Macaca fascicularis: one gene and its partners. The protein of the gene in region 2 interacts with the protein of the main gene of each other region in a biochemical or structural test. Links are inferred from orthologs where the notes say so. Each region holds a gene or a part of one and is shown on either strand. Other genes may lie near its edges.

Evidence for each region.
Region 1: of the proteins of PPP2CA (region 2) and MAPT, one has a biochemical effect on the other in vitro, tested with the Homo sapiens proteins (2 studies listed by BioGRID). The link is inferred for Macaca fascicularis from reciprocal best matches to the Homo sapiens genes PPP2CA and MAPT.
Region 3: of the proteins of PPP2CA (region 2) and MID1, one has a biochemical effect on the other in vitro, tested with the Homo sapiens proteins (2 studies listed by BioGRID). The link is inferred for Macaca fascicularis from reciprocal best matches to the Homo sapiens genes PPP2CA and MID1.

The regions. Positions count from the first base shown.
Region 1 is NC_088390.1:67,473,728-67,477,478, reverse strand, and holds the start of MAPT (microtubule-associated protein tau), read right to left. Parts: upstream 2,472-3,751; 5' UTR 2,339-2,471; exon of another isoform or gene 1,898-2,338; intron 1,652-1,897; exon of another isoform or gene 1,396-1,651; intron 886-1,395; exon of another isoform or gene 761-885; intron 1-760. UniProt on the Homo sapiens protein: Promotes microtubule assembly and stability, and might be involved in the establishment and maintenance of neuronal polarity.
Region 2 is NC_088380.1:140,728,485-140,732,135, forward strand, and holds part of PPP2CA (serine/threonine-protein phosphatase 2A catalytic subunit alpha isoform), read right to left. Parts: intron 565-3,651; coding exon 355-564; intron 1-354. UniProt on the Homo sapiens protein: Catalytic subunit of protein phosphatase 2A (PP2A), a serine/threonine phosphatase involved in the regulation of a wide variety of enzymes, signal transduction pathways, and cellular events.
Region 3 is NC_088395.1:10,135,966-10,139,616, forward strand, and holds part of MID1 (E3 ubiquitin-protein ligase Midline-1), read right to left. Parts: intron 343-3,651; coding exon 1-342. UniProt on the Homo sapiens protein: Has E3 ubiquitin ligase activity towards IGBP1, promoting its monoubiquitination, which results in deprotection of the catalytic subunit of protein phosphatase PP2A, and its subsequent degradation by polyubiquitination.

The DNA of each region.
Region 1 (3,751 bases), on a different chromosome or scaffold from region 2:
AAGCCTCGCAGCACTCAGGCTCCAGCCCTCGACGCCACCGTCGAGGAAGGTCAGCCTGGTCCCGGGCGGGCTCTAGTTCCCCAGTCAAGCCATTCCCCGGAAATTCAGATCAACCTGGGCAGCCCGCGTGGAGGATTCAGCTCCTAGATGCTCGTTCGTCTCAGAAGTGCGCCCCCCCGCACCAGTTTTCAGCGATAGAATTAACCAGAAAACGGCGCGTACCAGGTTCATCACAGGAGGGCGAGGCTCGGATGCCTTGGCCAGGAGTTCTCCTTGCAGCCCCAGACTCGGTTTTGGGGGTACGGTGAACTTGGATACGGGTGAAATCCCGCATTTACGATAAATAATATTAATCAGTACAGACATAATATTAATAAAAATACACCCAAGGGCTGCCTATCTGCGGCCGCCAGAGGCCAATTAGAGTCTCAGGTGCAGGGGTTGGGGGCTTCCTCCCGTGTCCTCCAGGAGGCCAACTGGGCGCGGCCCCGCCTACCCCAGGGTCCCCAATCTCCCCAGGGAAGGGGTGGGGCCAGCCCCAAGGTCCCCTCTCCGGACGCCTGTGGTTCCCATGGCAATTCCCCCTCTGTGCCCCCTCCAGTGGGCTCAGAAAAATGGGTGTGGCCGCAGCACCAGTAACCTTATGCCCCCTCCTCACATTCTCCCGCCAGGCGAAGCAACAGGGCGTAAAGCTGGAGAGGCCCCACCGGGGCTCCCCACCCATCCCCGAATGGGTAGCCAGCGTCCCTCGTTGGGCAACCTGGTGTGGCTTGGCCCTCAGGACACTCGGGGTGTTGGGAGGGGCGTGATCCCTCTGCCGCCGCCCGCAGCGCAGCACGGAGACTCGAATCCCATCCCTTCAGAAGCTTCCTGGCGCCCGCAGACTCCGAGACGAGGCTGCGCGCGGTCACGCCCGTTCCATGCGTGCCGGGGGTCGGGGGGTTGACTCGGGTTCGTCGACCCCAGCAAGCCTCGAGATCCAACAATGGGCTCGGAAATGAGGAACGAAAAAGGAAAGAGGTGCTTGGGGGTGGGGGGAGGTTGGCTAAACACCCTCAGAATAAAAGCCAGAAACCAGGGCTGGGAGCGCAGATCACGTAACCTCTACAGACAAAGCAAAGAGCCCCCGAAGAAGGTGCTGGGTGAACGCCCCCAGCGCTCACGCCCGCAGCAGCAAAACGCCAAGATTTCAGCGCTGATTGTCCCCCTCCCTTTAATGCCAGGCCCCGCCCTGTCCTACGAAGCCCGGCCACCCGGTTTGGCATGGCACCGTAAAGACGTGACACGCCGAAAAAAGATGGCACCTCGGGAGTGGGAGGAGGCACAGCCTATCCTCCCCCCTCCTCGCCCACCAGGATCCACACCCACTGCCGCAGTGAGGGGCGAGCCCTGCGCGCCAGCCCCGCGCCTCCGGCAGGGAGCGCACACGCCGGGCACCCTGCGCGCGGAGCGCTGAGAAAGAAACCCGCCCCGAGATGCACCTGCAGCCCCGCGCCCGTCAGTGCATGGCTGCTGCTGTGCCTGCCCGCGAGCGGGGACCGGCGGCCGCCGACTCCGTCCACATCGCCAGGCCAGGTGACCCCTGCCTTTGCGAGCGTGCACACTGGGATCCTCGCACTGTTCTCAGGCACGGCGCTGCTCGCGTCTCTGTGCCAGGCGTGCGCAGGGGGAAGGGCAACTAAAGTGACAGCGCCTGGACCCCTCCCCATCTCCTCGATTCCTCCCAGCCCCCAAATGTCCCCTACGGGTTTCTGAAGGAGGAAAAGGGGAGGGGGCCGGCCCCCGCCTAAAATCAGGGGCAGTGAAGGCCCTGTCGGAATCACTGCTCGGGAGGTAAAGGGAGGGGCGTGCAGGGAGTCAGTCATCTTTTCTAGAACCCGATCCACATCTTCCTTAGGGCTGATGGCGAACAGCGGCAGGGACAGCGGATTTCAGGTTCGGTTTCGGGGGTCGTTATCGGACCCCTCCCCCCCACGCACGCCCATTGCGGCAAAAGACTGCGGTCGAGAGTGAAGGGCAGCCCCCTCCCCCAAGTCACCGCCGCCGCGCCCCACCCTGCCGGCACGGCCTCCACCTGGGGTCGGCGCGAAGCGGGTGAAGACCCTCCAGCACACACACACGCGCGCACTCAGGCGTGCGTGCATCCCTTGCTCACGTCCCTTTCCAGGCCGCCCTGGCCCCAGCCCCCGAGCAGGGGAGGCAAGGAGGGGCCCTGCGGTCGCCCCGACCGATGCCCGGCGCACGAAGCCCCAGTCTGTGGAGGCTGAGGGCGAGGGGCGGCGGCGCAGGGGTGCACAGGGGCGGACGGCGAGGCAGATTTCGGAGCCGCGGCGCTTACCTGATAGTCGACAGAGGCGAGGACGGGAGAGGACAGCGGAGGAGGAGAAGGTGGCTGTGGTGGCGGCGGCAGAAGGTGGGCGGTGGCAGCGGCGCTGCTGTTGGTGCCGGAGCTGGTGGGTGGCGGTGACTGCGAGGGCGCGCGCCGGCGAAGAGGGCGCGTTCCCGAGGCCGGCAGGCGGCGCAGGCGCGAGCAGCGGGAGCGCGAGCCTCCCCAGGGGAGGGGGCGGGCAGCCCGGCCTCCGCGGGAGCCTTCTCCTCCGGCCACCAGTGGGCGCGCGCGAGCGCCCTGCCGCTCGGCTGTCCGGCGCCTCCCGGCTGGTTCCTCTCGGCGCTGCCCTTTCCCGGTGCCCCTCCCCCTACGCCTCAGGCCGCGGCGCTGACCGCAGCGCGCACGCGCGTTCCATGGCGCACGCGCACTCTCCGCCTCCCATAGCTGGAGCCTTTGTCTCGTTGGAGGGGTGGGTGTCTTCCTTCGGGCCCTGCGGGGTCGGGGCAAGGCCAGTGACTCCGCCAGTGGGTCCCCTGCCCCTTTCCTTTCAGTCAGCCTGAGGCGGTGTCCTCTCCTGGAGAGGTCCTGAGCGACCTTCCACGTGGCCAGCTCCCCAGTCCGCCCACCCCGACCCTCCGAGTCCCGAAATCGCCCCCCTGGCTAAGGTCGCTTTTCCCCAGGCTGCTTCCTTTCTCCTTGCTTTTTTCCCATCTTTTTTGTTACTGACCAAGGTGAATCCTTTCCTTAACAAATTCACTTAAAGCAAGCTAACTCAGTTACAATACAGTAGAACTGTACTTTAAAAAAAAGTATTTGGATCTATGATGTATGTAACCGTGACGCTAGAAAAGAAATCTTAAATTAGACCAAATTGAAATAGTGCTTAACACATCGCAGAACATTTGCACACACAGTTATTTGTATCACGTCTTTTGAAACATCTTTATGCTGTAAGTAGAGTTTGAAGTCTGAATGTTTAAGGGCCAGCTGGAGATTGTCCCCTGGAAGAGGCATCTCAGCCTGAAACTGACCAGTGGTCCTCATTCTACTGGTCACCCAGGCCCCAAGCTTCGGCCTTAGCTTGGATTTTTCATTTCCCCAACGTCAAATTTAAGCCCTGGCAGTGGGCGGATTTCTATGTATGGGGGTTTAGGGCAGCCGTCTCCTCCTAGGGAGATGGGAAGTTGTCTTGAAGCTCCAATTTGCATGGTTCTTACATTATTTTTTAAAAACCAACATATGTTATAGATTAATAGAAAAAGCAAGTAAAATGCTTTATTCACACTGAGTTTCTGGAACTGACCTTTTTCTTTCTTTCTTTTTTTTTTTATCCATATTAACTTTATTTTTAAACAGAGGGGCATATATCCAAAGAAGTAGGAGTGAGAACCACCGTGGGGGCTTGCTGAAAGCGATCTGCCC
Region 2 (3,651 bases):
AGATGGGGCTTCACTATGTTCTCCAGGCTGGTCTCGAACTCCTGACCTCAGGTGATCTGCCTGCCTCAGTGTCCCAAAGTGCTGGGATTACAGGCGTGAGCCATCACACCCAGCCTATTTTTTCAAACAATTTGACTGACGCATTCTTTTTTTCCTTTTGTTTTGATTCTGTACCATCCCCTTACTCAGAATGCAGACGCCTATGATTTGTAAGTCTGAAACCTGAACATACGCATTCCCAAATGTGGAATTTTGTTTTATTTAACATTCAGATAGAGAAAATAATTGGGAAAAAAATATTCAAGAGGACTGTCTTACCCATTTCAACAACCCCCAACATAAAACTGAAATTACCTTAAGAGCTACAAGCAGTGTAACTGTTTCAACTGAATAATATCCTCTGTCAACATAATCTCCCATAAACAAGTAATTTGTATCTGGTGATTTGCCACCAATTCTAAACAGTTCCATGAGATCATGAAATTGCCCATGCACATCTCCACAGACAGTGACTGGACATCGAACCTCTTGCACGTTGGATTCTTTTGTCAGGATTTCTTTAGCCTACAGATGGGAGACAAAAATAAGGCAATACATTTGGCATTAAACAATATTAACAAAGATTTGTTTACTTACACTTAATGTAACTTAAGGGGCAGACTCAGTCTAAGATAAAATTGCAGGCATTTATGATCCCATTAAAATAAGCGAGATATGATTATAATCCATTAGGTATCTCACCCTGTTACCTAGGAAAAAAATGTGCATTCCTATCATCAATACCAGGAGTTTTTAAAAAACCTATCAAATTGCCATCTAAGTAAATACTAATTGTTAGCAGCCACATAAAATCAATGAAAATGGAACAGGACATTCAGGTACCTACTTCCTTACCTTTAGAGTTCTAACTACAATACAGCACTCAAAGATTCAATTTTTTTTTTTTTTGAGACAGGGTCTCATTTTGTCACCCAGGCTGGAGTGCAGTGGTATGATCACAGCTCACTATACCCTGGATCTTCTTGGCTCAGGGAATCTTCCCACCTCCCACCTCAGTAGCGGGGACCACAGGGACACGCCACCATGGCTGGCTAATTTTCACAAACTTCTCTGTAGAGATGGGGTTTCACCACGTTGCACAGGTGTTCTCGAACTCCTGGGTTCAAGTGATCCTCCAGCCTCATCCTCCCAAGGCTTGGGATTACATGCATAATCTACCTCACCTCAGCCCTGTTTGACTTTTTAAAAACATGTTTTTGGCCAGGCACCGTGGCCCATGCCTATGAGAAAATCATTTGCTCAGCCATCTGAGTGACTACTATGTACCAAGTCCCGTGCTAGCAACTGGACATACAGTGGTGAACAAGATGGCTCATTCCCACTACCATAGAGGGAAGAAGGACCACAAACAAGTAACCAAGCCAAAAGTACACTGTGTTAAGTGTCACAAAGGAAAGGGAAAGGGTAACTGGGAGAGACCTCTTTACATAAGATACCAAAACAAAGTACCAGAGAATTGTTGCTAACAAGCCATGACAACCACACATGACAAGGACTGGGTTCAAGGCATTGGTAATGCAATCTTAGCTGCACATCGAAAATCCCAATGCCCAGCCAGGCCCAGTGGCTCACAGCTGTAATCCCAGCACTTCAGGAGGCCGAGGTGGGCGGATCACTTGAGGTCAGGAGTTCAAGGCCAGCCTGGCCATCATGGTGAAACCCCGTCTCCACTAAAAATACAAAAAAATTAGCCAGGCATGGAGCTGCATGACTGTAGTACCAGCTACCTGGGAGGCTGAGGCAGGAGAACTGCTTAAACCTGGGAGGTGGAGGTTGCAGTGAGCCAAGATCTCATCACTGCACTCCAGCCTAGGTGACAGATCAAGACTCTGTCTGAAAACAAAAACAAAAACACCAACGCCCATCCCTTCCCCTAATTAATCAAGTAAGAATTGTGGAGAGTGGAATCAAACCATCAATAATTTTTAAACACCCCAACCCTTCCTTTCCTCAGTGTGCAACCAAGTTTAAGAACCACTATTTTCAAGTCTTCAAACATTTTTGGGGGCCTATTTCAGGATGCCTACCAACCAGTGACATCCCTAAAGTGACCTAACATTTTACTGAGTTTAGAAGAAATTTCCACTGTGCTTTTTTCAATTTACACTGTGGCTCATGCTTATAATCCCAGCACTTTGGGAGGCTAAGGAGGGTGGACGGCTTGAGCCCAGGAGTTCAAGACCAGGCTGGAGTACAGTGGCGTGATCTCGGCTCACTATAACCTCTACCTCCCAGGTTCAAACGATCCTCCTGCCTCAGTCTCCATGAATAACTGGGACCACAGGTGTGCACCATTATGCCTATTTTGTATTTTTTGTAGAGGTGAGGTTTCACCATGTTGTCCAGGCTGGCCTCGAACTCCTGAGCTTAAATGATTTGCCCGCCTCTGCCTCCCAAAGTGCTGGATTACAGGTGTTAGCCACTACAACGGCCTGAGATATCTATTAAGAAATATGTACAACCCATTATTATCAAATCCTACTTCATTTTGAAATTTTTCTCTCCTGGGTAATTCCAGCTTCCCATTAATTATCATGAAAAAACACAAATTCACTAGGCATATTCCATTACCAAGTCTGTCTGGCATTAATACCACATCTAGTGTTTTTTCAGCACCTATCATATATTAATGAAAATAACTGAATGAAATAAGTCCTACACTGAGAAGAAACTTGCCAAAGTTATTCAGAAGTTTTAAAAGGGCATGACATAAGAAAACAGATGGTTATATACCGTGTACATCTTGCCTTGATGTAATTTTCACATTTAAATCTATCAGAAGTTAAATGTTAACATACATCTGTGAATATCTGTTTACCTGCAAGGCTCTCCTCTGTATGAATAATAAAAAATTGACTTTCAGGACTGCCTGAAGTTCCTTACTAAAAGTGACTCAAAATTTCTATTCAAATCATGAAGGAAAATTAAGTTTAAATGCTATTTGTTGCTGTTTTTTATTTCAATTTAGGCAAATCACAACGATAAACACATCTATTTTTTAAACTATACAAATTAGTAATACATTCTTGTAAAAAAATTTGGCACAGATAAAATGAAATGTTCCCTTTGAGCACCCTGCACAATCCCAACCCCTTTGGGCACAGTTACCAATAAAATCCTGATGTACAGATGCTCCTCAATTTGTAACACAGCTGCATCCAGATAATCCTATTGTAAACATAATCGAGTCAAAAGTGTGTTTTCAGCTTACAATGCTTTCAATTTATGATACACTTATCTGGATGTAGGGATGTAGTCCCATCATAAACTGAGGGGTATACTGAATGTCTATCACTTTCACACCATCATTAAGTCGAAAATATCGGGGACTGTCTGTATATCCTTTTAAAACTTTGTTTACAAAGTTTACACACATACTGTATGTCTACAGAAACAGTAGTTTTCCTTTGCATTTTTAAACTAGAAACAATATTGTTCAGCAGCCTGCTTTTCTAACAATACATAATAATATATAACATTTATTGAGACAGCTGGTCAATTTCTCATAGGGGAGGCAGAGTATCCCCTGACCAATTACAATGGCAGAGCAGTGTGAAACGACAGCAATATATATCCTAGTATTTTCTCCTT
Region 3 (3,651 bases), on a different chromosome or scaffold from region 2:
AGCTGCTCTGTGCAGTCCAAATGGTCTGGGATAGGAAGCCCAGTGATAATCGTCAGACACTTGTTCCACACGGTGAAGGTGGGGCACACAGGCTGCGCAAATGCGACGTCGAAGGTGTAGAGGTGGATGGAGTTCAAAGCATCATAAAAGGCGATAGAGCCGTTATCATAGTCCAGCAGGATGCCCACGCGCCGGAGGTGGGGAGCAGGCTCAATGGGGATTTCCTTGCTATTGTGTCTCACCACCCAGTTATTGTTGCAGCGGCAGAGCGCCCAGGAAGCAGAGTTCTTCCCAATCCATTCATGCTTCGGGGCTGATTTATAAGCAAGACCAATAGCATACCTGCAGAAACAAAACAGCAACAACAAAAACAATGAGCCATGTTGCATATGCACATTAAATCCGTTCTGTGGTCCTCAGGGGTTATAAAAACATGATCATTTGTTGTCCCTGTTCATTTTCTTTAAGTGAAAGCTTGGCAAGAACCCCAACATCTGTGTTCCTCATCTCCTTCCCTCACAAACAGGGAAAGAAGCATCATATTTACCCACATTTCTGTTTTCAGCTCAAACACTACAGAGAATTTGAACTTTGTATTTTGCTGCTTTTTTTCACTTTTATAAAAATCTACACAATGAATTCGCTAGACCAGTGCTGACCAAAAGAACTTTCTTCAATGATTGAAATGTCCTGCTCTCCTCGATGTGGTAACCACAAGCTACATATGGCTACCGGGCACTTTAGCTGCAGCTGGTGAGACTGAGGAACTGAACTTTAAATTTATTTAATTTTCATTAAGTTAAATGATTTAAATAGCTGCATGTGGCTCATAGCTACCATATTGGACAGCACAACCCTAGACTTCTCCTTTTGACCTTCTTATAATTTTTAATTTAACACTATGTCTGTCATTTTCTGATTCTGAAAGCATTTTGCCAAGGGCAAGCACAGAAGATGATTTCCATTTGTGGGGATAAGTCCTTTGTCATTACTCAGCCCCAGTTTTCTCATGTATACCACAGGGACAACGATAGTCTCCATCTTGCAGTGTGTGATTTTAAGGAGTAAAGGAGAGAATACGTGTTAAGTCCTAGGCACAGGACCTGGCATGCAATATTTAGTAACTGCTATTTTATTATTATTGCCTGATGGCACATATTAACAATAAGTACCAGAATCAGAATTTGAACTTAGGATGACTCAAAACCCACAAACACGAACTACATTCTACAATGCCAACCATAACCAGAAATTGTGCAGTCCATCACTGCCAAGAGCCTTTCTGATTATATTTCCTACTACACCGAAAAAAAATTCTGAATGTGTTTGAGCAGACGATCTTCTGGTTATTCTAAATGTTCTCTTGCTGCTCAAAAAAAAAAAAAAAAAAAAAAAAAAAAAAAATCCAAAGAATGCTTTCTACAATGTTTGTTCTAAGCTTCTTAGTCTCTTTTTACCCCTCTGAAGCATGCCTCTGTAATATTCATAGTATTTCAGTTATTAAGATAAACAAAACCCATCACTCTTAATAAACAGTAAATGACTCACAGGTGAACTTTTAATATGTTATAGCAGAAACCAGCCTAACTGGATATTAACACATGGTATCTTACCCAATGCAGAGAGAAAAATTTCATGGATCTTTAATAAAATGACATTCTTTAAAAAAATCACACTGGACTTAAAATACAATCACTTTAGGAGTGGTGTGTTTAAAAAGAAAATTAATACACCATGCCATCATTAAATCCAAAAGGAGGATGGAATTGATAATCTGCCAAGCCCAGTGTGCAGGCCTGTCTGTCATCAGTGTTGCATCTTCTCTTCCCTCCCATCCATCCTCTCCTGCTTATGAGGAGAATCCAAGTTGCATTTCCCAGAATCCCCTTTCCTGTAGGAGTCTGAGTCAGGCTCTGCTATTGTGATGCCTTTGCACAAGATCCAGAAGTGCTTAGAGGAGGGGAAACACTCTTTCCTGATGGCAGACAGTAGATGTGCAGTTGGTGGAAGCTTCTAGATGAGCACCTGAGTACACCTGCCTTGTGCTGTGGGCAATTTTGCAGCAGCTACAGCTCATCATGACTCCACGAACTAGAGCAGCAGACTCCCGGACTTTGTGCCCCAGCCCTTCCAGGGTCCTGTAAGCTTCTGGGTCCCTTCCTCTGGGGAGTGCATCAAGGGTCTCAAATGTCATCTGTTTATTTGATACATTGATATGGTTTGGCTATGTCCCCACTCAAATCTCATCTTGAATTCCCACATGTTGTGGGAGGGACCCGGTGGGAGGAAACTGAATCATGGGGGCAGGTCCTTTCAGTGTTCTTGTGATAGTGAATAAGTCTCACGAGATCTGATGGTTTTAAAAAGGGGGAGTTTCCCTGCACAAGTTCTCTTTTTGCCTGCTGCCATCCATGTAAGACGTGGCTTGTTCCTCCTTGCCTTCTGCCATGATTGTGGGCTTTCCCAGCCACATGGAACTGTTAAGTCCATTATAAATCTCTTTTGTAAATTGCCCTATCTTGGTTATATCTTTATCAGCAGCATGAAAATGGACTAATACATACACTTTGGAAAGGTTTTCATTTTGCAATTGTCAGTATCTCCCACTCCCTAAAATGTTCTGTATACCCCAGTAAATACCATTTTCATCTTTCAGATAATTTGGAACCTGCATTTGCATCACAAAATCACCACATCTGTATTGTTTCCTTCTTGTTGTGACACAGCATTTTTATTTTTTATTACTTTGATGTTTATTTCCCATTTGAACCTTAACTGAACCCTATGAAATAGCTGTGGCAGGTATGGCTGACTACATGTAGCAAATAGAAACAGAATATTAAAATTGGGAGCAAAATCCAGAGTTGTATGCTGCCCCCACCCCTTCTGGTCTAATAATCTTTGCATGAATCCGTTATTACTCGTTTAGTTAACACCATTTCATAAAACACCAAGTGCACGGCCGGGCGCGGTGGCTCAAGCCTGTAATCCCAGCACTTTGGGAGGCCGAGACGGGCGGATCACGAGGTCAGGAGATCGAGACCATCCTGGCTAACCCGGTGAAACCCCGTCTCTAGTAAAAAATACAAAAAAAAAAATAGCCGGGCGAGGTGGCGGACTACTCCCTGTAGTCCCAGCTACTCGGGAGGCTGAGGCAGGAGAATGGCGTAAACCCGGGAGGCGGAGCTTGCAGTGAGCTGAGATCCGGCCACTGCACTCCAGTCTCGGCGACAGAGCAAGACTCCGTCTCAAAAAAACAAACAAACAAAACAAAACAAAACAAAAAAAACACCAAGTGCACATTAGCATCAGAGAGTAAGAAAATAACTAAGTGTATAGTCCATTAAGCAAAGGAAAATACCATTATAGTATCATTAATCTGTGAAACTAGGTACATATTTCCATTGAGCTTGAAAGGTGTAGGCAGAATGTAATGTTCCATTAAGTTATGCAGTGAGACACGGAGAATTCAAAGTATAAAAATTATGTCTCTCAGGGCAATGTTAACATGCCCCATTGCACAGATCATAATGTACACATTAATTTAAAGTCAGGACTATATTTGACAAGCAAATATATGTCATTAGCTGTTGCAAATCAAGATGTCACAGGCATTTAATTGTAGGGGGCACCCCTTCCTTGCTAATACCC